5 linked regions of the Oryctolagus cuniculus genome follow. The protein of the gene in region 1 interacts with the protein of each later gene in a pairwise test. Links are inferred from orthologs where the notes say so. Each region holds a gene or a part of one and is shown in the gene's direction. Other genes may lie near its edges.

Region 1 (5,910 bases):
TCCCCTCGCACCGAGCCGAGGGTCTCTGGGCGCCACCGACGCAACGAGTTTCTGGGGGGCGTCACGGAACCCCCGCGGCGGGGGGCGAAAACCCACCTCGCAGGGCGGCCCGGGGAAACTGAGGCACGGGGCCGCGAGCGCGACGGGCCGGAGTCCCCAGGCCAGGCCGGGGCGGCCGGGCGAGGTCACCTATTTTGGGCGTCCCGGCGCGGCCCGCGGCTTATCTTACGGCCCCTGGGTCCCTGCCCGCCGCCCGCCTGTCCGGCTGGCCGTCCCGTGTCCCACGTGGGCCCCGCCAGGGCCGCCCACCTCCCAGGAGCGCCCGGGAGGCTGAGGGCGCCCTCGGAGGGGGAGGGGGCTGCGAGCCCGGGCCCCAGCGATCTTCCAACCCTGCCCTCCCCGGGCCCGGGAAGCCCCAGGGTCGCTCCAGGTCCGGGCCGGACCTAAGACCCCTCCCCTCTCCGGGAGCGGCGAGTGCCTGCGTCTCCGCCCGCACCCTGGTCCCGCACCGTCGGCTCTTCTCCGGGAGCCCGTGGGGAGATGGAGGCGCGCGTGGGGTGCGGCGGGGGGCGCTCGGGGCCTGCCCCCGGGCCCTGCGGGCCCCCAGCTAGCGGCCAGGGATCCCTGCCCTGACTCACGCCGGGCAGGCCGGATTTTCCGGAATCTGGGGGGGATTAGGGGAGCCGGGCGCGCGCGGGGCGGGGGGGTGGACGGTTGTGCAGGGGAGTGGCCTCGCCCCGCTCCACGCCCCTCTCGGCCGCTCGGAGACGGAGACCCCGTCGTCCGGCTGGGGCCCTTTCCCGGGAAGGGGAGGGGGTTCCCGCCAGTTTCCTGCCGGCCCCCGCGCCACTCCGGGGCGGTGCCTGGAAGCCCCTCCTCCGCCGAGCGCGGGGGCCCTGGAGCCGGGCGCGCCGCGAAGTCCCTAGGTCGCGACCCGGGCCCTGCCGTCCCCTCCCCCCCGCCAGGATCAGTTCGAGGTCCTGGAACGCCACACGCAGTGGGGGCTGGACTTGCTGGACCGATACGTAAAGTTCGTCAAGGAGCGCGCCGAGGTGGAGCAGGCGTACGCCAAGCAGCTGCGGTGAGACCCGGAGGGCTGGAGACCCCGTGGCCCGGCCGGGCCGGGTAGGGGGCGGCCGCGGCTCAGGGCGCTCAGTCATCCCGCCTCTGTCTCCCCTTAGGAACCTGGTGAAAAAGTACCTGCCCAAGAGGCTTCCCAAGGATGACCCCGAATCCAAGTGAGGCTGGGGCCGGGGCACGGGGCTAGGCTGCCGGTGGGGGGGCCGCGCGGGGTTCCCTGGCTCGGCTTCTGTCTTTCCTACCTGTTACACGGGGAGGCCCGAGCACTTGTAGAGTGAGTGACCTTGGGCCTGCGGCTTTGGGGCCTCAGTTTTCCTCATCTGAGAAGTGGGCGTGGGAACGGAGCCACTTGTCCTGTTCTGCTCAGGTGAGGCTGAGGGGAGTTTGCCCAGGACTCAGGACCGCGGTCCCCTGCCTGTCCTAACTGTCCCGGGAGCGCTTGACTTTATTCTGAGTTCCTCACTGCAAAATCCAAAAAGTTCTGGGCATCAGCAGTGTGTTTGGTGAGCTGCTAGCCACCTCCAACGTAGGTGAGGCGAGATTATGGTGGCTTTATCTCGCTGGGTGTAAATGCAGCCTTCCCTGGGCACTGTGTCTCAAAATACTTGAATTTTCAAAATCACCTGTGCACTGAACATGCGCAGTCCCACCCCTGTGCTGCTAGTCCCTAAATGATACAGTGTAGCACTCACCTTGTCTAGGAGGCTATGTCAGCTACAGGTGATTTAAGGTGTACAGGAGGGGGCGAGGTAGCCGAGAACACTATGCAGCTTACTTTTTAGAATGCATGGGAGACCAGGAGGAAGCACCTGGCTCCTGGCTTTGGATCGGTGCAGCGCCAGCCGTAGTGGCCACTTGAGGGGGTGAACCAACAGTAGGAAGACCTTTCTCTCTGTCTCTCTCTCTCACTTTCTAACTCTGCCTGTCCAAAAAAAAAAAAATACATTGATTATTTACAGGAAAGCAAGCACGAGATCTCTATCTGCTGGGTTTATACTGCACATGTCTACAACAGCCAGGACTTTGGGGGGAGGGGCTAGAGAGAGAGATCTCTTCCATCTGCCGGGGACAGCCAGGCTGGGTCTCCCACGTGGCCGGCAGGGCCATCACTGCTGTCTCCCAGGGTGCGCATTCCCAGGAAGCTGGAATCAGAAGTGGACCTGGGATTTGAGCTCATGCACTCTGATGTGGAATGCCAGCGGCCCAGGGAGCGCCTTAGCCTGTTGCTAGTGAGGATTTTGGATCCTCCCGGGGTCCTGGAGGCATTGCCCTCCCCTCTACCCCGGGGGATTCTGATGCTGTCACCATTAATACCTCCACAAAGGGCGATTAGTCAGGGTGCAGCCCCAGCCCCACTGGGGCAATGCACACAAGTTCCAAAACCTGTGCCTCTCCTTTCGAAGACTCGAAAATCTCCCAGTTCCGCAGTGCACCTCACTCCCCGGTAGCGCGTGAGGGATGTGGACCAGAACTTGCCACTGCTTCGGGATGGGTGTCTTGGGGGCTTTATCCCACCTGGAGGTGGTGGTGGGGAGTCCGGGGGTGGGGCTCTGACTCCCTGTCCCCGCCTCCCCCACGTCTCCCAGGTTCAGCCAGCAACAGTCCTTTGTGCAGATTCTGCAGGAGGTGAATGACTTTGCGGGCCAGCGGGAGCTGGTGGCCGAGAACCTCGGGTTGCGCGTGTGTCTCGAACTGGCCAAGTACTCGCAGGAGATGAGGCAGGAGAGGAAGATGGTGAGGGCTCCGCGCCCTGGGTCTGGCCGGGGCCGGGGGCCGGGGGGCCGGGGGGCCGGGGTGGGGCTTCGGGAGGACCCTGGTAAAAGTCTCTCGCGGCTCCTCTCCCCCTAGCACTTCCAGGAGGGCCGGCGGGCCCAGCAGCAGCTGGAAACCGGCTTCAAGCAGCTGGAGAATGTGAGTGTGCCGGCTGGCGGGGGCCGCGGCTCCGGAGGCAGTGGCCCGAGCTGCCCTCCCTGCCTGGCCGCGACTGCCTGTCCCCCCCGCCCCCCGCCCCCCGCCCCAGGCGTGTCCCCCACTGTGCTCAGTGACCCCCATCTTGGGGACAGGCAGCTCCTTCACTCCGCTTCCGTCCCTTGTGCAGAGCAAGCGCAAATTCGAGCGAGACTGCCGCGAGGCGGAGAAGGCGGCTCAGACCGCGGAGCGCCTGGACCAAGACATCAACGCTACCAAGGCGGACGTGGAGAAGGTGCGTGCGCATGCGCGGAGCCCGGCCCCGGACTCCGGGCATCTGGATGGGGCGGAGGCCCCTGACGCCTGCCCGCCCCGCCCTTCAGGCCAAGCAGCAAGCGCACCTGCGCAGTCACATGGCCGAGGAGAGCAAGAACGAGTACGCGGCCCAGCTGCAGCGGTTCAACCGCGACCAGGCCCACTTCTATTTCTCACAGATGCCCCAGATATTCGACGTGAGTGCCCCAGGCTCCCACGCCTTCCTTAAAAAAAAAAAAACGAACAAAACAACAAAAAACCCAACTCTTACTCATACGTCAAAACCCCAGCTGCCCGGTTCCCCAACTCCGGGATTGCAAGGGAGCCAGACATGCAGGAAGGACCGGTGTGCTTTCTGCTCCAGTGACTCCTGTGTGCCACAGATGTTTCTCTGTCCTTTGGGAACTCCTGCTCATCCTTTCGAAGCCCCAGCTCTTCCGATCCCTCCGAGAAGGCTCGAGTTTAACCCTGTCTTCTCGAAGGCTACTCCTGGCCCTGGGAGGGTCTTTGCTGGGTCTAGCTCTGCTCCGTTTCCCACTGCCACTCCTTGCCTGGCTGGAGTGGGGAGGCTTTCCCGGCTCCCTAGGCAAGGGGCATCCTCTGAGATGCCCCCCCTCCCCACCCTGTGCCCCCACCGGCCTTGTGTCTCTCCCTGAACTGCATCGGGTGGGAATCTGGTTGCATCTGGGTCTTTTCCACCAGACCGGGCTTGGGGCTGGGGCCAGCGCGAGGAGCATCCCCGTGTTTGCTGAGTGAGTCACCCAGGCCACCTCTGCCCCTTCCAGAAGCTGCAGGACATGGATGAACGCCGCGCCTCCCGCCTGGGCGCCGGGTACGGGCTCCTGTCTGAGGCTGAGCTGCAGGTGGTACCCATCATTGCCAAGTGCTTGGAAGGCATGAAGGTGGCTGCCGAAGCCGTGGACGCCAAGAATGTGGGTGCCTCATCTGGGTCCCATGGGCCGAGAGCCGGGCACAGGGGAGGAGAAGAGGCGCGTCCTCCAGCCCCTCCCCTGACTGCCTCCCCCCCCCCCCCCGTCCCTTCCCCCAGGACTCACAGGTCCTCATAGAGCTGCACAAGTCTGGCTTTGCCCGCCCTGGCGATGTAGAATTTGAAGACTTCAGCCAGCCCATGAACCGCGCGCCCTCGGACAGCAGCCTGGGCACCCCCGCGGACGGGCGGCCGGAGCTCCGCGGCCCTGGCCGCAGCCGGGCCAAGCGCTGGCCCTTCGGCAAGAAGAGCAAGGTGGGGGCCGGGGCCCGTGAGTGGGGACAAGGGGGGCCCCCACTGACTCAGCCCCAGCTGCCTGAACGCCGAGTCCCGGGCAGGAATTTTCCTCTTGGCTGCTGGCCCGGGCTGGAGGGAAGGAAGGCGAGCGGGCGGGCCCATCAGCCTGGGAGTCCCCGGAGGCTGGGGGGACCAGTGTGTGTGTGTGTGTGTGTGTGTGTGTGTGTAGCAGGGGCAGCCTGTGGCGTCTGCCTGCTGTTCTCAGAATGGGAGGAGAAGACCTGCTTGTGGAGTTCAGGGCTGGCCCGAGGGCTTGAGACACCACCTCCTAGAAGCCCCCCGGGGTTTCCTCCAATGTCCTGGTGGCTCCCTGGGCCACCACGTCCGATGCTCTTTTTCCCCCTTGGGTGTTTTGGCTTTCGGTGTTGGGCATACACCTGGACACTCCTAGTCCGTGCCTTTGACAATGCTCCCTCTCGGCCGACCTGGGGTCCCTTCATCCGATACTGCTTTTGATTTCTCCTTGGAGACCACCCCCACTCCACGGACACCTGCGGGCCTCTGGCTGCCCGCCCCCCTCCACCCCCCATGATGCTTCCACCTTGGAGCCCTCTCTCAGCTCGCCCGCCCTCTGGCTTCTGTGTCTGAGACCTCATTGGCCGCCTGCATGTTGCTCCCGCCCTCTAGACTGTGAGCCCAGAAAGCCTGGTGGAGACCAGCTGCAGCCCCAGGGGGCCTCCTTCCAGGAGAGGGGGGGGGCAGGGTCTGGCCTTTGGGCTCACAGCCTCACACCCTCCCCACCACCCCTGGCATTTCTGTGTTCACTCTTGCACGCATTTTCTGTGTGTGATCATACATCTTAAGTTGTGTTTTCCTTACCGTGTTTTTTCTTCTTTTTTTTTTTATCTTTCTCCATTTTTTCTTTCTGGCCTCTTTCCATCCTCTTCTACCTCCTCCCATGTCCCGGGACCCACCTCTCCCCCCGGCCCCCGCCGGTAGCTGCGTTCCCCTCCCCTCTCCCCACTGGGGGGTTCCCTGCCCCCGGCATTGCCTAACGGGCCCCCATCCCCCCGCTCCGGCCTCGACCCCCTGGCCCTATTGAGCGAGATCAGTAAGTCGGTCAAACCGCGGCTAGCGTCCCTCCGCAGCCTCCGAGGTGGCCGTGCGGTAAGTGAGGCCTCGTGGGGGAGGCCGTCCCAGCCTGCCCGGCGGCCGGGTGGGGGGACCCTGGGCTCGCTTCCTGCGGCCGGCTGGGCCCCCCTTTCCTGCTTGGCTCCGTGCATGGCCGTGCCCCGCCCCCCGCAGAACCTCAGCCGGGGCGGGGGGAGTGGACTCTGAAGAGTGTGCAGAGCGGCCTGGACGCTGAGAGTCCAGGGTCCCAG
Region 2 (4,918 bases), on another chromosome or scaffold:
AATAAAAAATACATCTTTAAAAAAAAAAGACTTTTCAACAGAGTTTAAGTGCATTAAATCAGCAGCCTTAAGAGTTAAAGGTAGGGGCCAGCATTGTGGTATAGAGGCATAGCAGCCAGACGCCAGCATCTCATGTGGGCGCTGATTCGAGTCCCGGCTGCTCCACTTCCAATCCAGCTCCCTGCTAATGGCCTGGGAAAAGCAGCAGAAGATGACCCAAGTGCTTGGGCCCCTGCTACCACATGTAAGTCCTGGATGGAGCTCCTGGCTCAGCCCTGGCTATTGGGGTAACCTGGGGAGTGAACCAACAGAGGGTAGATCACTCTCTGTGTCTCCTTCTCTCTCTATAACTCTGCCTTTCAAATAAATTAATGAATCTTTAAAAATGGTTTATGGATTTAAAAAAATAGTTTATGGATAAATGGGTATTCCCAAATAAAGAATCTGAATTTGCATGGCAAGTTTAGGCCTCTATAAAAAGACGTTTGACAAACGAATGAATAGAAACGGCTGCTCATTTGTTCCTTAGACCTCTTCATTGAGAAATGTAAACTGTTCTCACTGTGCAGTGTCACTCACGACAAATACTCTGTGTGTCGGCCTTCCTGAATATTTAGCACTACGTGGAACATCGGAACGGTGGGGCTGAAAGAGTGAAAGGGCAGCTGCTGAGGGAGGTCTGGTGACGTCAGATGATCGCCCAGGAAGGACACGCATGTGCGTGTCCTGATAGTTTGTAGCATAGTTGAGTATTTGCTAAATGCTGGGGTGAGCCTGGGTGATGTGAGTAGCTGTTGGTCCCTGTCCTCGTGAGACTTCTACTCAGGTGATAGGAGAGCAGACAGGCTGAATCGTGCTGACCAGGTATCAGAGAGCGTGCGGAAGGGGTGGTCTTAGATAACAGTGGCCAGTAGATTTTTCTGAGGGGCTGACATTTTAGCTGAGAGGGGAAATTGGCTCTCTCCAAAGGAGTTGAGAATACAAAGGCTCTCCGGCTCAGTGAAGAGTTTTCTGAAGCGAAATTGAAAAAGTAGGCCGAGGGCAGATGGAGTAAGGCCTAGCCATTTCCTAAACTCAATTTTAGTAAAGCAATTCATTTTTGAAAATAAATGTCTTTCAGATCAGGTATTTGGAGCCAACCTTGCTAATTTGTGTCAGAGGGAGAACAGCACAGTGCCTGCGTTTGTGAGGCTGTGCATTGACCACGTGGAAGAACATGGTAAGAGACCGGTTTTGGTTTTCTTGTTCTTTTACATTAAACAGCCAACCTATTGTCTAACCGTCAAATCCAGGGGAGGCAACCAGCAGTTCCTTACAGTCCTGAAATGTCCAGAAAAGCATTTTGTTTGGGGGAAAAACAAAACAAAACACCACCTTATTTATTTAGACCTGTCGCAAATAAGACCTCTGCAGGTATCTATTGAATGCTTTAGTCCTAGTGATTAATTAAGTGTGTGGTACTCTGAAGCCATTTGGAGTTGGCCTTTGATTAAAATGAAGAACACGGTGATTGTGAAACTGCGTTTGTTAGGAAGTGATAGTGCAGAGATCTGAGGAGACTGCGGAAGTGAGATGACGCTGTGTGTATATATTGGAATGTCAGGCTGCAGCCCATTAATACGTACAGTCATTGTTAATAAAAGGATTCTTGAGGACTGTTCAGTCAATACAGAATGTTGATATCATTTCCTACAAAGCGTGACAAGCTAATTTCTGTTTTGGTTAATTTTAACATTTATAATATATAATAGTTTTTTTTTTTTTAATAAATTAACAGTATGTTAGCTGTAATCACACCATCCTAGATCTGTGTGTCATCAGAAGCATTTCATGCAATTAAAACATGTGATAGGATTTGTAATTTCTGCCAGTTCCAGGTCTCTTGTGCCCCTGGCTCCTCTTGTCGACGTGACAGTCGTCGACACCACACTGCTTGCTTGCCTTTGTCTGAAGTTAAACGGAACAGCACATCAGCTAATGTGCTTTGTTAAATGTATACAGCACTGTCATTTCATGCATACCTACAAATTTAAGGCTTAATTATGTAAATTTCTAATGATTCTGTTTCATATATAAGATAAATTATCAAATGAGCGTGTTTCTTTTGATCTGCTTGTATTACAGTTATTGCAAGCACTTAATATGACAAATACTTTTAAGAGAGTTCTTCACTGTGTACATTTATGTTATAAAGTAGTGCGCAAAAAAATAGCAGGCCAGTGTTGTGTACTGGCTTCCTTTACGTGTTGAACTGTCCCAGGTGTTTCAGAAGTTTATCTGAAATTGTTGTGTTTCTTAAGTTTTAAATGTTATGTTTGCCTTGAGCCTGATAAACAAAGCAGAGTTTATTAAACAGAATTCAGAGTGAATTTCTAGCCCGCTCCCCTTGCCAAGCATGTATAAAAAGCCGTTCGGAGAAGAATATTTGTGCATTTGGTTTTAGACGAATGCTAACGAGTGAGAATGCCCAGACAGGCAGCTGCAGAGGCGGCAGAGCAATCCCTAAACCTGAAACGTTGTGCCTCCACCTAGGTCTGGATGTCGACGGGATCTACAGAGTGAGCGGCAACCTTGCTGTGATCCAGAAACTGAGATTTGCAGTCAACCACGGTAAGATTATCCTCCCTGCTGTCACAGCCAAGAGCTGCACTCACCACCTTCAGAACTGGCTCGAGGCCATTTTTAAAAATTTCCGATTCCTTCTGTTTCCCAGATGAGAAGTTGGACTTGAACGACAGCAAATGGGAAGATATTCATGTCGTCACCGGAGCACTCAAAATGTTTTTTCGAGAATTACCAGAACCGCTTTTTACATTTAATCATTTTAATGATTTCGTTAATGCAATTAGTAAGTATGTAAATGCATTGTTTTTTCTCTCTACATACTGAAAATCCTTCCTGTAGATGATACCGTCGTGTTGTTTGATCTCTCATTATAAAGATGGTTTTACTCCAGATATTTTAAATGTGACCACCAGATGGCACTGTGTATTACCAAATACCCTTTTCCAAACGGTCATTGCTTTCAGTTTCCTAAGTACTAGCTGCCGAATACCTACTTGTTATTTATTTTCCAGAGCAGGAACCAAGACAGCGAGTCGCTGCTGTTAAGGATCTAATCAGACAGTTACCAAAGCCAAATCAAGATACAATGCAGATTCTTTTTAGACATCTCAAAAGGTAAGAGGGGAAGGGCAGTCTGAGATACGGCGTAGTGCAGTGGGAACCCTGGGCGGTCCCAGTCACTCAGACCCAGGATGGGATCCGGCCATGCTACCTGCTGTCTTTGTGACTGTGAAAGAGGATGCTCCCCCGACTTCCTTTAGTATCAGTTCCTCGGGGGTGAAATGATGTAGGGTGAAACATGCACTAGACCCTGTGTGTGGAGCATTTATATAGGGCCTGCCACATTGTTGCTACTCGTGCAAAGATGAGATTGAGCCTTAAGTGTGAGACATTAAATTACCTTCAAGTAAAGCCACCGTGGCTCTGGGTTACTCTGGACATGTGAGTAACTGAATGTTTTCATCTTATAAAAAGAACTTTAGAATCTAAAATAATCCCAATAGGGAAATTTTTGTTGTTTTGCAAAAATAATATAAAATCAGTATAATTCAAAGTTCAATTTCTGTGTCCTGGTGAAATCCCCCCCCCCCCCAACCATCCACCTGGGGGAGTGACCACTGCCACCTGAATCGTAGCTAATACTTTGAGTCTGTGTCCTGTTTACAGAGGGAGCCAGAAATCTCACACTTTTAAAATTTGTTAGAGTGTGTCCAACGGGTCTTCGGGAGTTCACCAGGAAATGCGTACTGTGAAAAGAGCTGTGCGTGGATTTCAGGTTTTTTCAAATTGCATTTCTTGCGAACTTTTGAAGGCCTCTTGTGTAATTATCCTTTCATCTGAGTTTTTTCAAAAAAAGGCTTCACACGGCATTCAGACTGGGTTCTCCTTGGTTCAGGACTTTATGTGTCTTGGGAGAATGAGCGCTATTCTCTTTTCTCAATGCAGACGGTTAGGTTCATGATGCAGTGTGAAAAAGTTTTCCCCACCATCTTTTAACAACCTCTTCCCCCCTCTCCCAGAGTTATAGAAAATGGAGAAAAAAACCGAATGACCTACCAGAGTATAGCAATTGTCTTTGGTCCCACCCTGCTAAAACCAGAGAAGGAGACTGGCAACATAGCGGTTCATACTGTGTACCAGAATCAGATTGTGGAATTAATTCTGCTGGAAGTAAGCTCCATCTTCGGACGTTGAATCTTCACGAGGACGACCTGCGGAGCGACGCGGGGCTCCATCGATTTCACGTCTCTGTCCACAGTGTGCTTTCGTTTTGGACCAAGCAGTGACTCTTTGATTTTGCACTTTTTTGAGGGATCAGAAGGGAAGGGGAGCGTCACGATGCCTATTAGGCCCTCATATTTGCTGCTTTGTCACAAGGAGGTGTAACTGTGTAATATTGAATTCATTTATCCTGAATGTCTGCATTTCATACTTGGAATTCAGTAAAAGAAAAAAAAAAAAGAGAGACAGAAAGAAATCAAAACTTAACAGTTCTAACCAGTCATATACACTGGATAATTTGATAAGAAAACTACATTTCCCCCACCCCTCAAACTGGATAATGTAGAGTTTCTTCTCATGATCTGTAGGCTCACCACTTGGTAGAACAACATGTAACCACTTGGGCATTTTAAACAAAATGAAGTATACCTGTCTTGAAACCTGTGCGTTTCCTCTTCAGGGTTTCTGCATGCAGTGGCTAAGTGCTGTCACCAGACGTAACCCTTGCCGAAGGCTTGCTGTCTGTTCGTGTCGCACGGCATCCTCACTGGGTGTCTCAGTTGCGCGTCTGGGCAGCACACTAATACTACTTAAAACACTGTGATGTACTGGAGTTCTAGTTAGCATCAGT
Region 3 (6,554 bases), on another chromosome or scaffold:
CGCCCTGAGCCGCTCTGCACCCCTGGCTTCTTTCCCGCGCCTGGAGCCCACGGCTGTCCTCAGTTCAGGCTTCCATGGCATTACTCGGGATTGCCTTAAATGCTGAGATGGGGTCATAGGGGTCACAACCACAGCTAAAGGTAATGAACCTGAAGTAATTCTCAGCAAGTCATTTAGGCTTGGTTGTATGGCAGTGAGTTTCCCATAACTCATTAACTCAGTCTCTCTCGTCTGTTCTCCGCCTCCTACCCCCTTCCCATTTCACTCTGCAAATGGAAGAGTGAAAAATAGTCACAAGATGATGCCTATATCCTAAGCATTCACTTACAGGACATTTGCTTTAGCTTCCATAGGCTCTTAAGAATCCCTTCATGTTCAAAACAGAGGTATTGCACAACAGCTCACATGCAGGCAGCCGGTGATAACCAGACAGGAGTGACTAATAAAGTGGTAGGTGATTCATTTTATTATTGCTTGGTTGGTGTTTTTAGTTATAGGCTGGATGTCAGGTAGAGAATTTGATCCATGGTTTAAGTGTAGACTCCTTGAAGAAGTTAGACTTGTAAAAGCAGATGGGCTCCGAGGACATTACTTTTTTTGTACTAGTAGTATACGCTTATACTACTAGTGTCAAATACTGCTTTTAGTAACCTACATGTTCACATACTTAAATTGCACAACAACCCTTGTAAGATAGGTATAATTTGTCATCATCTTCATTTTATAGATGAGGAACTGAGGCACAAACAAGTGGAGTAGTTTGCCCAAGATCAAACAACTATGATGTGTCAGAGCCAAGTTTCGGATGTAAGCAGTTTAGCTTCGCAGTCCCTGCCCCTACTCATCTACTACTGTCCACCATGTATGAGTTAGCAGAGAAAGCAATTATTACTCCCAAATCGAAATTCTCCGATAAAAATATCAAGCAGTAAGGCAAATTCTGGCTCTATAATCTTTATCCCTTGTGTACAGACTTTTTTTCAATAACTGCAAAAACTTTGGAAATTACAAGAAAATAAGTATTTTTTTAAAAGATTTATTTATTTGGAAGTCAGAGTTACACAGAGAGGGAAGGAGAGACAGAGAGAGAAAGAGGTCTTCCATCCACTGGTTCACTCCCCAATTAGCTGCAACAGCTGGAGCTGTGCCCATCCGAAGCCAGGAGCCAGAGCTTCTTCCAGGTCTCCCACATGCGTGCAGAGACCCAAGTACTTGGGCCATCCTCCACTGCTTTCCCAGACCATAGCAAAGAGCTGGATCAGAAGTGGAGCAGCCAGGACCTAACTGGCGCCCATAAGGGATGCCGGCACTGCAGGCGGCGGCTTTACCCACTGTGCCACAGCAGCGGCCCCAGAAAATAATTAAACACAGGAAAACTTGGATCCAAACAGAAAGTTCATATTCTGTACTGTGCTAAAGCTTAAAGTTTCTGTACCTATTTTGGGGGTGGGAGTAATTTCAGTTATTCCTGGCCACATCCCAGGTAACAGTGGACTATTTCATAGCCCTCCTGAAGGATCTGTGTCAGCGGGTGGTTGATGAAGGTTGTATGAAAGTGAGTGGGTTGGCCGGCGCTGCGGCTCACTAGGCTAATCCTCCACCTAGCGGTGCCGGCACCCCGGGTTCTAGTCCCGGTCGGGGCACCGGATTCTGTCCCGGTTGCCCCTCTTCCAGGCCAGCCCTCTGCTGTGGCCAGGGAGTGCAGTGGAGGATGGGCCCAGGTGCTTGGGCCCTGCACCCCATGGGAGACCAGGAGAAGCACCTGGCTCCTGCCATTGGATCAGGGTGAACCAATGGCAAAAGGATAGACCTTTCTCACTGTCCACTCTGCCTGTCCAAAAAAAAAAAAAAAAAGTGAGTGGGTCATGAACTACACCTGTCTTTGCTTCCCCCCACCTCTGTTCTTGGGGGCTGTTTTTATTTATTTATTTTGCAATGGTTCCCATTACACATTTTAAAACCAAATGTAAGTGTGATGCCGCTAATAACCGACACCTTTTAATAAAGCCAACAGGGAAGCCGAAGGAAAGGAGGAGAATAACAGCCTAGTTCTTTGAGAAGTCAGAACAAGTGGATCGATATTCAGATACACAGCGTGGGAGAGGATGGTGAGGGAGCTGTGGGAGTAAAAAACACCCTTCTCCTGACTCATCCCCTCTGTTCAGACAACAGGAGCTAAAGACGAGGAGTTCTGACTCAGAAACGGGACCGAACATTCGTATTTCTTCTCCCTGTCTCCGCCAAAGAGGACCTGGGCTGGGGCCCCGTGCCTCGAGCACGCAGCTCGCCAGTGGGCGGTTTCGCGTTAGGGTCAACCCTCGGGACACAGAAACACGCGTGCTGGGACGGCCGGGGGGCTCCGAGGGGATTCTGGGCGGCGTGGGGCACACAGCCCGGGCACACCACTGTCCCTTCAGGTGAACTTCGTGCCATTCTGTCTGCAGGCCACGGCTACGTGTAAGCGGATCCCCCCGGGCCTTTCACGACCCTCGTGTTTCTCCGCCTCGGCGGCGCCCGCGGCGGGCACTCCGCCCTCGCTGACGGAGCTGACAGGTGCCGGCGCCGCGGGCAAGGCCCGAGCTGCACCGACGCTGAGGGCGGCGGTAGCGCGTGTGGAGCAGGCCGGCGACCGCGGACGCGGACTCGGGACCCGAGGCGGCCGTGGACGCGCGCGCGCGAGGTGGGCGCGGGGGGCCGGCCCGGCGGGGAGCGGGGCGGAGCTTCCGGAGGCCCCGCCCTCCGGGGGAGCGGAGGTGACTGGCAGGCGGGGGGCGGGGGGCGGGAGACGCTCTGCCCCACGCTCGCCCGGCGCTCGGTGGTTTAAAGATGGCGGCGGCGGCGGCGGCGTTGGGGGCGCGGAGCGGCGGGAGGGGGAGGGAGCAGCGGAGTCTGTGAGTCGCCGGGGAGCAGCGCGGCGGCCGCGGTGAGGAGTCCGGGGGCCGAGCCGCCGGCGGCCCCGGCCGCTCAGGGCCAGGGCCTGGGCCGGGAAGGAGAGGCCGGAGCAGCGCCGGGAGCCGAGGAGGAATGTGACCGGGGGGTTGGCGGGGGCGCGGGAGTACGCGAGCGCAGGGATGGGGCAGCAGGTGGGCCGCGTCGGGGAGGCTCCGGGGCTCCCGCAGCCTCAGCCCCGCGGGATCCGGGGCAGCAGCGCGGCCAGGCCCTCCGGCCGCAGGCGGGACCCGGCGGGGCGCACCGCGGAGAGCGGCTTCAATATCTTCACCCAGCATGGTGAGTGTGGCGGGGCGCGGGGCGGGGGCGGGCGGCCGGGGGGCGCGGGGCGGAGGGGTGCCGGCGGGTGGGGGCGGAATCGGCTGCCATCTGGGCCCGTCACGGGCGGCGAGCACACCCCTCCCCCCGCCCGTCTCCAGCCTGGCTGGCAGCTCCTGGGGGCGGTCACTCGGAGCTCGGGTGGACTGGCCTGTCCCCCGGCTCGGGGCCGTGCGTCGTCCGGGGGAGGCAGGGATGAGGGGAGCGAGGGGCTGCGTCCGGGCGGTGGGGGGGTGGAGGCCGGTTGTCAGCGGAGGCAGCCCCAGTGTGGCTGGGGAGCTCGGGCGTGCACCTCGGGAGACTGGCGGGGAGCGGTGTCAGGGTGGCGGGCTGCACGGTGCCCTGGAATGCCCGTCTTTGTAGGAAGGTGAGGGTGCGAGCCCCTGACTGTGTGTGTGTGTGTGCATGTGTGTCTGCCCCACCACCCTGCTCTGTTCCTTGGAGGACACGGTTCTGAGATGGCTGGCAAGGGCTGTAAGTTGGTGGGCATGGCTAGGACTTCCTTCTGGGTATGGGCAAGTTTTCCTTTGTAGCCTGTGTGTGTGTGTGTGTGTGTGTGTATGCCTATGTACGTATAGTGCTTGCAGATATGTGGCCTGGCACCTATCCCTTGGGTCGCGTCTATTTATCTTGAGAATAGTTTGTCTTCAAACCCCTTTGTTACGCACTCAGTAAAAATGTTGAGCGTATATTCTGATTTGTGTATTTTAGGCCGTTATGTTCGTGTACCGTGCTAATATGTGCTGTAATTCTTAAACGTATGCAGAAATAGAATTTAGGAAATGATAGGCTGAGAATATCATAAGGCTCCTGACCCCTCCCACCCCCCCACCCCCGCCTCGCCCCGGCCCAGTGGATCCTGTACACTTCCTCAGAGACATACTCGTGTCACTTCTGAAACCTCTTTGCTAGAGGGAATAAAATCAACATTGACTTGCCTGGGATTGAGGTCCCCCCCATATCCACGAAGGGCTGAAGATGGAGGTGTGGCTGGTGGAGGGACTGGCCGGTTGAAAGTGGCCGAGAGGGGCAAACTGGACAGTGACGGAAGACGGATGTAGAAGACGGTAAAGGGTAGAAGAGACGGGTTTCTGTGTCACACAGTCGAGGGAAGTGGAGGGCGAAAGTGAAGTGTGGATCCTTTGCTAGCAGTGGCGTTGGGAGAGTGTCATGGCTGATGGTAGCATGCACAGAAGGATGAATCCGAGGGTCCGTGACTAATAGCTGAGTTGTGTCAGAGGTCTGAGTTTGGACTTTGTGGTTACACTGAGTTTTTAAATTTTTAATGTATTTGAAAGGCAGAAAGAGACAGAAGTCTTCCATCTGCTCCTCACTGTCCAAATGACTGCAGCAGCTGGGGCTGGGGCCATGCCGGAGCCCAGAGCCCGAAATGGACTCTGGGTTTCCCAGGTGGGAGGCAGGGACCCCAGTGCTTGAGCCATCATCTGCTGTCCCCCAAGGTGCACAGTTGAAGGAAGCTGGAATCGGAAGTGGAGCCAGAACTCGAACCCAGACACTCTAGTGTGTCTCAGGTGGTGTCTCAACTTCTGCCCCAAACACTTACCCCACAGAGTGAGTGTTTCTTCATGGAGGAGATGTCTGTAACTTGGGTCTATGCACGCTTCAATTCACATACCTTGAAGAAACCTCAAGCACATCTTTAGTAGCAGACATATAAAGCGATGTTTAATATTTGATGCAGGTGCCATAGGAGTTGGTGGTGGTGGTGGTGGTTGTTGTTTGACAGGCAGAGTGGACAGTGAGAGAGAGAGAGACAGAGAGAAAGGTCTTCCTTCCGTTGGTTCACCCTCCAATGGCCGCCGCGGCCGGCGTGCTGCAGCCGGCACACCGCACTGATCCGAAGCCAGGAGCCAGGTGCTTCTCCCGGTCACCCATGCGGGTGCAGGGCCCAAGCACTTGGGCCATCCTCCACTGTTGTTTTTTATTGAAATTACTTCCTAAACCATGGGAGGAAAGAAAAGAGGAGTAGTTCTCAAGAGGATGGGCATTTGGTCCAGCAGTCACGATGCTGGTGCCCAGTGACTTAAGGCTTGGGCTTGATTCCAGGCTCCGGCTCCTGATTGCAGCTCCTGCTGGTGCAGGCCCTGGGGCCAGCACATGATGGCTCAAGTGTTTGGGAGGCCTGGACTGAGAGCCTGGCCTCTGCCTTCAGCCTGGCTGTTGGCAGGCATTTAGAAAGTGAACACGCCAATGGACGGTGTTTGTATCTCTTTGCCTGCCTATTTGCCTCTTGAATACGTTTTTTAAAAAAGTTTCCAGGGAAGAAATCGTCCAAGTAGCTTTGCTTTGTGGGAAGTGTTCCTGTGCGTTAAAAGTGGGCCACTGGGCCGTGGTGATCACCTTCCTCTAATATTCAGGACAGAAGATTGTCGGAGGAGGAAGAAGTCGCGAAGAATAGGATAGCAAAGACATGTTCGAAGGATGGATGGAATTTGGACCAAGGGAGCAGGAAAAGGCAGTCTGAGTGGGAACGGTGGGGATGGGCTTGATTTGTTGGTGGGACAGTGAGGAGACGTCTGTCAGGAGTGAACTTTGACCTCCAGCAGAATCGCAAGTCAGGTTCTATGCTGGCTCTAGCTGACTGGTGCGTTTAGTCATCACTTTTGGATTTCTTTATCTGTACAATGAGGTGAGGCAACATGATCTCTGAGATTCTTTGTCTTTAAGATTTTATGATTTTAATTGAGAAACAACAGAAAAAAACAGGTTGGATGGACTGGGTTATGGAAAATCTGGCAAAGAGGTTTGTGTTGGTTTGCCTGATTGGCTAGTTGATAGGATGTATCAGTAAACCCAAGTGTGAAATGTAAGACTGAGGCGAGAAATGGAAGAGGAGGGGTCAGGGCCATTTCATGTGTTCAACAAACAAAAGGTTTTTTTGAGCACCTACTTAAGTATTGGGCCATGGAAGTGGTGCGGTGAATATAATAGAGTGCTTGCCAGGATGGAACTTAGAGGACTTTGTGATCAGTGTAGACTATGAAAGGAGAGAGAGCACATTGGAGTGCTTGTTAAAGGCATGAGCTCTGAGGCTGGCTTGATGAATAAAAGCCACTGCTCGGGATGCTGGAGTCCCATATGGGTGCCTGTTCAAGTCCCAGCTGCTCCACTTGCTACCCAGCTCCCTGAAAGCAGAGGAAGATGGCCCAAGTGCTTGGGCCCCTGCCACCTGCATGGGAGACCTGGATGTAACTCCTAGCTTTGGCCTGGCTCAACCCTGGCTGTTAGGACCACTTGGGGAGTGAACTAGAGGATGGAAGACTTCT
Region 4 (4,957 bases), on another chromosome or scaffold:
TATCCAAACCCCATGCTTCCCACATCCCTGGCCAGGATGGACCCAATGACAATTCCTATCCTCTCCCTCCTCACCTTATTCCTTCGCCCCTGCCTGGGTCCTTTTCCGGGGCAGGTGAACAACCTGGACCCGGATCTGCGGAGCCTGTTCTCCAGGGCAGGAATCAGTGAGGCTCAACTCACTGATGCAGAGACCTCCAAACTCATCTACGACTTCATTGAGGACCAGGGCGGGCTGGAGGCTGTGCGGCAGGAGATGAGGCGTCAAGGTGAGGCCCCTTCTCTACACCCGCTTCTTCTCCAGCCCTGAAGCCACCCAGTCCTTGCAGAACCCCCTGTTCTGCTTGAGTGGGGAATTGGTCAGGCGGAGGGACCCATTTTACAAATGAACAGAACTGAAGCTTGCAAGAAAACGACAATAATAGCAGCTGTGTGTTATTTTTCCCCCTACAGAGCCGCCCCCACCGCCATCTCGAGGAGGGAACCAGCCCCCCAGACCACCTCTGGCGGGGGGTAACAAGGGCCGTTCTGGTCCACTACCCCCTGTACCTTTAGGGGGCGCTCCGCCCCCACCCACGCCCCGAGGACCCCCACCCCCAGGCCGAGGGGGCCCTCCACCACCACCCCCTCCAGCCACTGGCCGCTCTGGACCACCGCCCCCTCCGCCCCCTGGAGCTGGGGGACCAGCCATTCCACCTCCCCCGCCCCCTCCCCCACCGCCACCCCCCAGCTCCGGGGATGGGCCAGTGCCTCCCCCGCCCCCACTTGCTCCGCTGTCTGGGGGTTGCATGGCCTCTGGAGGGGGTCGGGGGGCGCTTTTGGATCAAATCCGGCAGGGAATTCAGCTGAACAAGGTGAGGACCAGCAGAAGGGAGGACTGGGGTCTGGGACTCCGGGGTGTCAGGTGCAAGTCAGCATACAGGGAGGCGGAGGCTGAGACTGATGGGGGTGCCAGGCCTTGGGGTTTAGTGCTAAGCTTGGGAGGTGGGTGGGGAGCCTTGAAAGGGATTGACGTGTGGGAGGAAAAATTACAAAGAAGGGGCGGAAGAAGTACTGAAACTCTCCTTGCTGCAGACTCCCGGGGCCCCAGAGAGCTCAGCCCTGCAGCCGCCACCGCAGACCTCCGAGGGGCTGGTGGGCGCCCTGATGCACGTGATGCAGAAAAGAAGCAGGGCCATCCACTCTTCCGGTGAGCCTGTCAGGCCCAGGCCCTGAACCTGGTTGCCAGGGCTAGCCTTGGCCTGCAAACATCCCAGGCGGTCCCCATCAACAGAAACATTATATACGTCTGTGGGTAACAGTATTGAAGAATCTTAGATCAGTCTCCTTAGTGGTAACATTTAGACAGTATATGACCATAATATAACTCTTACCTTTGACAATAGTATTAATGTAATATTAACTATTATTATCATTAGGGGTGTGCCCATGGCATTAATGCTGTCCTGTATTCAGCCCTATTAACATCAGTATGTGACAATCCTATTTTAAAGAGCACCATCTTCGACACTAACACTAACTTCCTGTACCAACAGTTTATATGAACCCATGATAATAGTAGCTAACTCCATCTTTCTACAATAATGCTAATATTAACCTCCTATTGTGGCAACAATACTATCCTTCACACATTATATGAAGATAATAGTAATTTTAACCTATTACCGGACAATAATACAATTAACTCCAACTTTGACAATAACATTAACCCCAAAGTGTGTCCACAAGATTAACGCGATTCCATTATATGACAGCATTATAACCAGCCTCATCATTTGGCAATATTATCATTAAACTCCATTATGGGTTAAAAAGATTAACATTAACCCACCATTAAGCAAAAATAAATTACCCCACTTTCACTAACAGCATTTACACTTGCCCCTTTAAGTGACAAATGGGTTAACATTAACCTGTTGTGTGACAATATCCCGACTAACCGTGTTTTTTGGAAATGTTTCTTAAAGCGTTATTTTTCAAAATTTTATTGGAAAGGCAGAATTACAGAGAAGGAGTTACAGGGAGGGAGGGAGTGAGAGAGAGAGAATCTTCCATCAACTGGTTCACTCCCCAGATGGCTGCAATAGGTGGGACTGGGCCAGGCCAAAGCCAGGAGCCTGGAAGTCCACTGGGGTCTCCCAGGTGGGAGGCAGGGGCTCAAGCACTTGGGCCATCTTCTGCTGCTTTCCCAGGCACTGGATCAGAAGTGGAGCAGCTGTGGCCGGAGTTGTGGGGTAATGGATAAATATGCTGCCTGTGATACTAGCAGCCTATATCATTCTGGTTTGTATCCCAGCTGCTCCACTGCCGATCCAGCTCCCCATTAATGGCCTGGAAAAGGAACGGAAGATGGCCCAAGTGCTGGGGCCCCTGCCACCTGTGTGTGAGACCTAGATGGAGTCTCAGGCTCCTGGCTTTGGCCATTGCAGCCATCTGGAGAGTGAACCAGCAGATGGAAGTTCGCTCTCGCTCGCTCGCTCGCTCTCTCTCTGCCTTTCAAATAAATAAATACATCTTAAAAAAAAAAATCACTTCTTGGCCTTTTGGCTAAGGTCAAGTGTAGTAAGCAGACAAACAGAAGACCCCAAAACTAAAATGCCAGGCCTCAGACTAACCATATTTTGAACAATACCATATTAATTTCAGCTCCAACTAGAACAGACTTCCCGACTATAACGCCTATCTTGTCCCAACCAGAAACCCTAACTTGACCTTAGGAATACCCCCTCAGCTCTCCAGGGCCTTTGAATTTTCCCCCCAAGCTGAACTCCCTCTGAATCCTTGTCTCCTTTCAGACGAAGGAGAGGACCAGGCCGGCGATGAGGATGAAGACGACGAGTGGGACGACTGAGTCACTGCCCACTCCCTACTCTGCTCTCTACTGCCCCTGCCTCCCGGCCCCGACTCTGCACCCCAGACCCCCAAATCCCATTTCTTCCCTGAACCCTACCTTGACTGCTGTTCTCCCTGCCTGGTCCCCACAATCACCCTCCCAATACCAAGGGCCTTTTTATATATATATAAAAATTCTCAGTCCTCTTCACTCAAGGATTTTTAAGTAAAAAATAAAGTCATTGTCTTTTTGTCTTCCCTAATGTGTTTGATTGCATTTCCAGTGTGGGAATTAGGGGTCCTTTCTCCCCAAAGTCCCTTTAGTGGATCTATCTCATTTTATTTATTTAGCCTCACATGGATATATTCATTGATTTGTTCTTTTACGTCCTCAGCCATTTTGCCTGTATTTCTTTCCATATTTATTTCCAGGCACTACTTCAGGGGCTAGGGATGAAGGAATGAGGAAGAAGTACAGAAAAATAAATTGCTGCCCTCATAGGGTTGGAATCACTCTCCTAGGGCAACAGACAAGAAAGAAAGAACCAAATAGAAATCAAGCAGAGTTACAGACCATGATGAGTGCTGTGGTGCACCATTCAGATGGTAATGGGAAGGTGACACTTGGAGGAGGTGACAGTTGTATTGAACCTAACAAAACAGAGGATGGGCCATTAGAATATTTGGGAGAAAAAGCAGTCTAAACTTTTGGGATAGCCAGTGCAAAGGCCCTGAGATGAGACAAACTTGGTGTGAGGCCAGGTGTGGTGATCATGTGCTTAATTATTTAAAAAAAAAAAAAGCTTTCAGTGAGCACAATACTAGATCAAGAACACACTTGATGACCAAATCTCCCTACTCTCTGTGTGCACAACTCATACAGCAAGAACCTGCTGGGCAGGATGCTCCTCTCAATTGTAAAATTCAGTTCTGTCCAGTTCCTGGTGCAAACCACTAGCCAATTGCAACAGAAGATCACACAGATCTGCTCCAGAACATGAGCAAGCTGCCTCAGGCGCTGAGCCCGTTTCCTCATCTCTAAATGGTGATCATACCATCTAGATAAATGATTCCCACCCCTCCTCATCCTCCTCCTTCTCCTCCAGGACTTTCTCCCTCCCTCCCCCCAAAAAAGGCGTACCTCAAAACTGTCCTTGGGGCATCTGGCCTAGTGGTTACGACACCTGCATCCCACATCCCACATCTGGGTTCCATGTCCAGCTCCCTTCCCGACTCCAGCTTCCTGCTAATGCAGAACCTCCAGAGGCAGTGGCAATGGCTCAAGTGCTTGGGTCCCTGTCACCCATGTGGAAGACCTGGGTGGAGGTTCTGGCTCTTGGCTTCTGCCTGGGCTAGCCTGGCAGTTGCTAGCATCTGGGGAGTACACCAGGGGATAGGAGCTCTGTCTGTCTGGTGCTTACAGCTATTTCCAAGGGAGTAATTCAAAGCTCTGGCATATCACAGCCTAGACTTGAGGCCCCTATGCCTTCCTATTTCTGAAATCTAGGGGGTTCAAGATCTCAAATATTTTCCTTTACAGGAGGAAGAGGAGGGAATAGGGGAGGAAGGGGAAGGGGAACCCAGAGAGGGGAAGCCTCTCTCATCCGCAAGACCAGTGGAAGAATTTCTGAGCCATGGAAGCACGGGTGGCAGTGGGGTGTTGAGGAGGGAGAGAATGAGGGAGGTGGTGGGAGCTGTGAGGGAGGGAGGAGATGGAGGGCAGGGGAGCTAGCTTTGCCCCTTAAGAATTCCCTGAGGACAGGGACATTTGCCCTGAGCTAGAGAAGGAGGCAGTCTCTGGTTTCCTCTAATTTTTTCATTTCTTCACCCCTGTCTCCACTTCCCCACCCCACCCCAGGCAGGCAGATGGACACTTGGTCTAGGGAGGAGGGTCTGTCAGTGTCACTTATTTCCCCCTCCCAGTCCTCCACAGAAACCCTGGAAAATCAGTGTGTTGGGACTTTGTTCTGGAAGAGATCTTCCATCCCACAACCTCTGAACTGCTGTAAGTGCTGGGTACAAGAGTTGACTGTGAGGGGCAGGTGCTTGGCACAAGCAGTCTAGATGTGCCCACACTCAAGGCCAAAGTGCCTGGGTTCGAGACCCAGTCCTGCTTGCTTGAGTTC
Region 5 (6,630 bases), on another chromosome or scaffold:
GACAGGCAGAGTGGACAGAGAGAGAGAGAGAGAGAGAGAAAGGTCTTCCTTTTGCTGTTGGTTCGCCCTCCAATGGCCGCCCCAGCCGGCGAACCGCGCTGATCCGAAGGCAGGAGCCAGGTACTTCTCCTGGTCTCCCATGAGGTGCAGGGCCCAAGCACCTGGGCCATCCTCCACTGCACTCCCGGGCCACAGCAGAGAGCTGGCCTGGAAGAGGGGCAACTGGGACAGAATCCGGTGCCCCGACCGGGACTAGAACCCGGTGTTTCGGGGCCGCAGGCGGAGGATTAGCCTAGTGAGCCGCGGCGCCGGCCCCGCGGTATTAATCTTTAATTACTCTGTTTGGAATATGCCAGGAGTGGAGCTGGGTTTCCAGGCCAGGCGCCTGACGGGAGCTCGGGGCTTCCCGGCAGGGCCCACGCGCTAGTGCGTTTCCCGAGGCTTCCTGGCAGGACCCCACAGTGCGTTCCGGGCAGAGGCAGGCAGCCGGGGCACCTGGGCTCCCGGTCCTACCGGCTGCGCCGTCCCAGGCAGCGGGCGGGCGAACCCCTCCCCTTTCAGGGGACTTCCAGGAGGGGCGCTCATACTGGGCAAGCTGCCCAACAGAGCTGGGCGGCTGTTCGCACGCAGCCTCGGGGGGTGGGAGGTCCCCAGGGGGTCCCGATCCCCTGTGACTAGCGTCTGCACAGGAAGCAGTGGGCACACAGACCAGAGGGCGGCCCCGGGCCTGGGCAGTGAGGATCCATGGCCGCGGTTTAAGGCCCACCCCCCCAGGCCAGCGAACTCAACACGTGTGCACCACACGTCACTGCACAACACAAAGGCACAACACGCGTGGATGACAGCGCTCACCGGCCTGAGCGGGGAGGAGCCCCCTCCTGGCCGCCAGGCTCCCTCGGCGCTGGGCCGGCTGCACCTGCGGCCCTGTACGCGCCCACCTCCCTCTGCTCGCTCACGGGGTGCCCCGGACCCCTCGGCGACAGCCTGAACGCCCCCGGGCATGAGGGGGCGCCCCACGCCTTTGCTGAGCGTCTGCGCCCCCTGGGGCCGCTCCCCTTCGCAGGGAGACCCCAGTAGGCTCAGCCCCGACCTGCCGGCGTCTGCAGCTCTACGTCGGGGAGGGGCTCTTCCCTCGTGGGGTCTTCCCGGTCGCGGTTCGCCGACACCAGCCCTGCACCTGTTCCAGCCCCCATGGTTCGTTCCCGCTAGCCCCGCCCCCAAGCCTGCCCCTTCCCCTCCTCTATAGCCACCCTTCGCCCCGCCCACTCCCCGCCCCTTCAGGGCCCGCCCCTCAGATTGGTTCCTCGCCCCGCCCCCTCTGGACCCGCCCCACCGCTCTCCGCCCCGCCCCCTCGCCTGCCCCTTCCCCGTTCCCTAAGCCACCCTTCGCCCCGCCCCCTAGAGCCGCTCCTCGCCCCGCCCCCTCTGGACCCGCCCCACCGCTCTCCGCCCCGCCCTCTCGCCTGCCCCTTCCCGTTCCCTAAGCCACCCTTCGCCCCGCCCCCTAGAGCCGCTCCTCTCCTCGTCCCCTCTGGGCCCGCTCTCCGCCCTCCTAGACGCTCCTTGCCCCGCCCCCTTGCCTGTTCCTTCCCCGTTCCCCATAGCCACCTTTCGCCCCGCCCATTTCCCCGCCCCTCAGAGTCACTCCTCGCCCCGCCCATTTCCCCGCCCCCTCTGGGCCCGCCCCACCGCTCTCCGCCCCGCCCCCTCGTCTGCCCCTTCCCGGTCCCCTATAGCCACCCTTCGGCCCGCCCCCTAGAGACGCTCCTCGCCCCGCCCCCTCTGGACCCGCCCCACCGCTCTCCGCCCCGCCCCCTCGCCTGCCCCTTCCCCGTTCCCTAAGCCACCCTTCGCCCCGCCCCTTAGAGCCGCTCCTCGCCCCGCCCTCTCCCCGCCCCCTCAGTCACTTTTCGCCCCGCCCTTGCCCCGCCCCTCTGTCACTCCTCGCCCCGCCCTTTCCCCCGCCCCCTCTGGGCCCGCCCCGCAGTCACTCCTCGCCCCGCCCTCTCCCCGCCCCTCTGGGCCCGCCCCTCAGTCACTCTTCGCCCCGCCCTCTCCCCGCCCCTCTGGGCCCGCCCCGCAGCCGCTCCTCGTCCCGCCCTCGTCCCGCCCTCGCCCCGCCCCCTCGCCGTCTTCGCCCTGAGGTAGCGCTGGGTTCTAACTGCAGCGCAGGCTCTGAGGAGCGAAGCTGCCGAGGGCGGAGTGGGGGAGGTACGGGCCGGCGCCTCGGCCGGCCATAGGCAGAGACGGCCGCCTCGGGCTGTCAATCCCGCCGCTTCGGCGTGGTCCTGCCTCCGCCGACGCAGCGTCGCTGGACGCGGGGCGCCGCGGGGGCTGCCGGGACGGGCCCAAGATGGCCGGGCGCGCTGGTTCCGCTTCTGCCCCCGGCCGCGAACCTCATTCATTGCCTCGCTGCTGAGGGGCGCCGCGTCGCCGCGAGCCGGCCCGAGGCCGCTGGGGGCTGCCCTGCGGGGTGAGAGGCCGCCATGGCGACCCTGGAAAAGCTGATGAAGGCCTTCGAGTCCCTCAAGTCTTTCCAGCAGCAGCAGCAGCAGCCGCCGCCAGCGCCGCCGGCGCCTCAGCCGTCTCAGCCGCCGCCGCCGCCGCCCGCGCAGCCGCCGCCGCCGCCGCCGCCCGCGCAGCAGCCGCCCCCGCTGCCGTCCCCGCCGCCGCCTCCCGGCCCGGCGATGGCCGAGGAGCCGCCGCACCGACCGTGAGTCCGGGGGCAGCGGCGGGGGCGCCGGCCGCTCGGGGCGGAGGGTCGGGAGCACGGTGCGGCCACGGGCCGGCGGGAGGGGAGGTGCCGGGCCCGGCGCGGGAGGCCGTGCGGGCGCGGGTGACGTCATGCTGCTGGGCCGGCGGGGCCGCGCGGGCGGGGGAGCCTCGGCGACTGCGGCCGCGGCCCCGCGGGCTCGCGTGGGCGCCGCGTTCCGAGCGCGGCCTGAGCGACAGGCCTGTCTGCGACCCCGCGTTGGCCCGCGCGCGGGACCCCGCGGCCAGCGCGGTGCTGGACACGGCGCGGTGCGATGCGCGAGACGCGCGCTCCCGCGGCGCCGGCCGGGGCGCGGGGTGCCCGCCGCAGGGGCGCCCGGGGGCTTCGCTGCTGCCAGCCCCTTACCCTGCTGGGCCTGGGGAGGGGGTTCTGAGGCAGAAACAGGAAAGCAAGTCCCCGAGCAGGCTGGGGAGTGCGGGCTTTCCCGACGGGCGGTGTGGACGGCAGGCGCGCCCCGGGGCGCCCGTGTGTCGGGCGGGCCGCCCTGCAGCCCCTCTCCCGGTCTCCGTGTCTGCTGCGCTGGCCTTGTCCTGAGCGTTCAGTACGGGAAGCGGGCTCCGGGGAGCAGTGCGGGCTCGTTTGAGAATCAAGCTCGGGAATCCCGTTCGTTGTAAAGGTAAAAACAGGTACTCCCCGGCACTCGCTCCGCGGCTCTGCCCTGCTCCTCTCCGGCTTATTCGCCGTCAGGAAGTCTTTCCTGTGTGCTTGGCCGGCACCGTGCAGGCGCGGGCCCAGCCGGGACGGAGCTCCGCTCCCCCGGGCTCTCGCGTGGGGCCGACGTAGGGAAGCCGGACGCCGAGGTCGGTGTGCGCTCTGGCAGCCGGAAGTGCAGGGAGGGACGGCGACTGTCGGGCTGGAAGGCGTTGACGTTTGCCTGGGGTGGCCGGGGGCCGCGCTGGCCTCTGAGGTGAGGCCTGCAGAGCGAGCAGGGCCCGGCGCGAGGCCGCGGAGCGGGGCGTTCCGGGCGGGAGGGAAGGTCAGAGGGCGAGGGAGGGCCATCGGGGGATCCGCCTTCTCGCAGGGAAGCCGCTGGGGTGTTAGAGCCGAGGCCTGGCGCGACCAAGCCCCGCTGGGAAATGAACTTTGTTGACATGCACGTGAAGGGGCACACGGGCGGGAAAAGGACCTGGCTGGAAGTCTGCACGCCAGCTGGGCCCGCGTGGTTCTGGCTGGCAGTGCGCCTGGGCGAGACCCAGCAGCATTGTTGATCTCTGCTTGCCGTAATGAGTTTAGCTCTGGTTGGTGTTACCACTTAGGGTTGTATCCCGCTGCAGTGGCCTAAGTTAATACGTTTATTGTAAGAAAAAATGAGTTGGGTGGAGGCTCTGCCTCCTGTGTCAGAGTGCACTTCCTGCTAGGCGAGGTCCCGGGAAGCCGTGCGATCGCCCAAGGGCCCGGGTTCTGGGCAGGAGACTGCAGCTTCACTCCTTTTGAGTTCCTCCTGCCTGCCTTCGGCCCTTATGCACTTGGGGGTAACCAGTGGATGAGAGGCTCTGTCTCTTTCTCTGAGGAGGTCAGTGGGGAGGTTGGGGAGCTAGGCTTTTTCTTAACTCTTGTCGCCATTTTTTAGTATTTACATATTTTTATTGCTGAATTACAAAAGTTCTTTATATATTCTGGATACTAGTAAACCCATACAAGATAGATGATCTGTAAAAACTTTTTTGAAAGGCAGAGACAGAGAACTTCCGTATGCTGGTTCACTCCCCAAATGTCCAGAAGGCTGGAGCTGGGCCAGGCTGAAGCCAGGAGCTTCTTCCAGGTCTCCCACATGGGTGCAGGGCCCAAGGACTTGGGCCATCCTCTGCTGCTTTCCCAGGCCATAGCAGAGAGCTGGACCAGAAATGGAGCAGCCGGGTCTTGAACTAGTGCTCATGTGGGATACTGGCACTGCAGGTGGTGGCTTTACCCACTGTCATCCAGCCAGTATAGACATTTTAATGATATTGATTCTTCTGATCCATGAGCAAGATTTATCTTTCCATTGTTTTGTGATGAATAGACTTTTATGTCAGTGATTGAATGTAATATTTCAGGCTCTGTGGGCAAACTGTTGCAGTTCCTCCAGTGTGCCACCGTAGCAGGCAACGGCCACAGATAGTACCTGATGAACTGGCTGTGTCCAGTCAGGTTTACAGATAACAGTGACATCTGAATTTCATGTAATTTTCACATAGCATGAAATATTATTATTTGATTTTAGGGAGGTGTTGTAAACTTACATTTAAAAAAGTAAAAACATTTGTTAGCTTGTAGGCTGGCCAAAAACAGGTAGCAGTTTACCCTTCCTATATTAAAATATGGTAATATTTTGGCCGGCGCCGCGGCTCACTAGGCTAATCTTCCGCCTAGCGGCGCCGGCACACCGGGTTCTAGTCCCGGTCGGGGCGCCGGATTCTGTCCCGGTTGCCCCTCTTCCAGGCCAGCTCTCTGCTGTGGCCAGGGAGTGCAGTGGAGGATGGCCCAGGTGCTTGGGCCCTGCACCCCATGGGAGACCAGGAAAAGCACCTGGCTCCTGGCTCCTGCCAGGATCAGCGCGGTGCGCCGGCCGCGGCGGCCATTGGAGGGTGAACCAACGGCAAAGGAAGACCTTTCTCTCTGTCTCTCTCTCTCACTGTCCACTCTGCCTGTCAAAAAATAAAAAATAAAAAAAAAAGAAAAAAATATGGTAATATTTTAGGACTCATTTTTTTAAAGGTTTATTTATTTATTTATTTGAAAAGCAGAGCAGGGGCTGACGCTGTGGCTGAGCAGGTAAAGCCGCTGCCTGTGGTGCCAGTATCACATGTGGGTGCTGGTTCAAGTCCCAGCTGCTCCACTTCTGATCCAGCTCTCTGCTCATGCACCTGGGAAAGCAGCGAGGATGGCCCAAGTCCTTGTCCCCTGCACCCGTGTGGGAGACCGGGAAGAAGCTCCTGGCTCCTGGCTTCGGGTCAGCACAGCTGTGGCTGTTGCAACCAATTGGGGAGTGACCCAGCAGATAGAAAACCTCTCTCTCTCTGCCTCTTCTTCTTTCTCTGTATAACTCTGACTGTTCTACTTATTTTTATGCTTCCATCTGTCTAAAGACATTTTAGTAAAAAAAAATTAGTACAACATAACTGATATTTCAGTGTCCTCCCTGGGTTAGGTGGTTCCTTACATCTGCTGAAGAATTTCAGTGCGCAGCATTCTGTGTGACCTCCACATCATTTGCTGTTGTGAGCATTGCAGGATATTGTGCTTAAATGACACGGATTCTGATAGCCGAAGTATTAATGTGTGTATGCACAGAATAGTTCTGACTGAGCTGGTATCCCCATCTTTATTTTAAAAATCTTCCTGAAAAGTCCTAATTGTCTGGGACACTCTCACACAGCATAGAGCCTGGTCGGAGTCCTAGAGCTGCTGCAGAGGACCCTGAGGCCCTGCCCGGCCCCTCACAGTCCTCCCTCTGCAGGCCGCGCAGCCCTGGGCCTCGCTGCACCCGCGCTCAGGTGTGAGGGTGCCCGTGAGGCCCACCGTGGGGAGAGGCCGAGGAGTGGGTGTTTCAGATTTCTCGGGAGTCCAACCTGGAATCATATTTTTATGCATAATCCTTTTTAAAAGATTTGTTTATTTATTTGAAGGTCAAGAGATAGAGGGAGAGACAGACACACTCAGAGAGAGAGAGAGAGAGATCTTCCATCTGCTGGTCGATTCTCCAGTTGGCTGCAATCACCAGGGTGGAGCCAGGCTGAAGCCAGGAGCTTCTTCCAGGTCTCCCGCACAGGCGCACAGGCCCAAGCACGTGGGCCGTCTACTGCTGCTTTTCCAAGGCCACGAATGGGGAGCTGGATTGGAAATGGAGCCGCGGGGACTTGAACCGGCACCCAAGT

Evidence for each region.
Region 2: the proteins of TRIP10 (region 1) and ARHGAP12 interact in binary tests that used the Homo sapiens proteins (3 or more experiments, as listed by UniProt). The two-hybrid records come from large-scale screens. The link is inferred for Oryctolagus cuniculus from reciprocal best matches to the Homo sapiens genes TRIP10 and ARHGAP12.
Region 3: the proteins of TRIP10 (region 1) and ABL2 interact in binary tests that used the Homo sapiens proteins (3 or more experiments, as listed by UniProt). The link is inferred for Oryctolagus cuniculus from reciprocal best matches to the Homo sapiens genes TRIP10 and ABL2.
Region 4: the proteins of TRIP10 (region 1) and WAS interact in a two-hybrid assay, tested with the Homo sapiens proteins (2 studies listed by BioGRID). The link is inferred for Oryctolagus cuniculus from reciprocal best matches to the Homo sapiens genes TRIP10 and WAS.
Region 5: the proteins of TRIP10 (region 1) and HTT interact in binary tests that used the Homo sapiens proteins (3 or more experiments, as listed by UniProt). The link is inferred for Oryctolagus cuniculus from reciprocal best matches to the Homo sapiens genes TRIP10 and HTT.

What each region holds. Positions count from the first base shown.
Region 1 is NC_091447.1:60,904,204-60,910,113, forward strand, and holds part of TRIP10 (cdc42-interacting protein 4), read left to right. Parts: intron 1-965; coding exon 966-1,081; intron 1,082-1,181; coding exon 1,182-1,238; intron 1,239-2,666; coding exon 2,667-2,814; intron 2,815-2,928; coding exon 2,929-2,991; intron 2,992-3,178; coding exon 3,179-3,283; intron 3,284-3,371; coding exon 3,372-3,500; intron 3,501-4,088; coding exon 4,089-4,235; intron 4,236-4,351; coding exon 4,352-4,546; intron 4,547-5,527; coding exon 5,528-5,695; intron 5,696-5,910. UniProt on the Homo sapiens protein: Required for translocation of GLUT4 to the plasma membrane in response to insulin signaling. Required to coordinate membrane tubulation with reorganization of the actin cytoskeleton during endocytosis.
Region 2 is NC_091444.1:102,256,754-102,261,671, reverse strand, and holds part of ARHGAP12 (rho GTPase-activating protein 12), read left to right. Parts: intron 1-1,120; coding exon 1,121-1,219; intron 1,220-2,532; coding exon 2,533-2,610; intron 2,611-2,713; coding exon 2,714-2,848; intron 2,849-3,077; coding exon 3,078-3,180; intron 3,181-4,085; coding exon 4,086-4,260; 3' UTR 4,261-4,918. UniProt on the Homo sapiens protein: GTPase activator for the Rho-type GTPases by converting them to an inactive GDP-bound state.
Region 3 is NC_091438.1:7,419,874-7,426,427, reverse strand, and holds the start of ABL2 (tyrosine-protein kinase ABL2), read left to right. Parts: upstream 1-2,837; 5' UTR 2,838-3,071; coding exon 3,072-3,228; intron 3,229-6,554. UniProt on the Homo sapiens protein: Non-receptor tyrosine-protein kinase that plays an ABL1-overlapping role in key processes linked to cell growth and survival such as cytoskeleton remodeling in response to extracellular stimuli, cell motility and adhesion and receptor endocytosis.
Region 4 is NC_091453.1:33,877,940-33,882,896, forward strand, and holds the end of WAS (actin nucleation-promoting factor WAS), read left to right. Parts: intron 1-114; coding exon 115-268; intron 269-452; coding exon 453-1,188; intron 1,189-2,794; coding exon 2,795-2,822; coding exon of another isoform or gene 2,823-2,850; 3' UTR 2,851-3,089; downstream 3,090-4,957. UniProt on the Homo sapiens protein: Effector protein for Rho-type GTPases that regulates actin filament reorganization via its interaction with the Arp2/3 complex. Important for efficient actin polymerization. Possible regulator of lymphocyte and platelet function.
Region 5 is NC_091433.1:1,727,254-1,733,883, forward strand, and holds the start of HTT (huntingtin), read left to right. Parts: upstream 1-2,336; 5' UTR 2,337-2,486; coding exon 2,487-2,713; intron 2,714-3,276; exon of another isoform or gene 3,277-3,389; intron 3,390-6,630.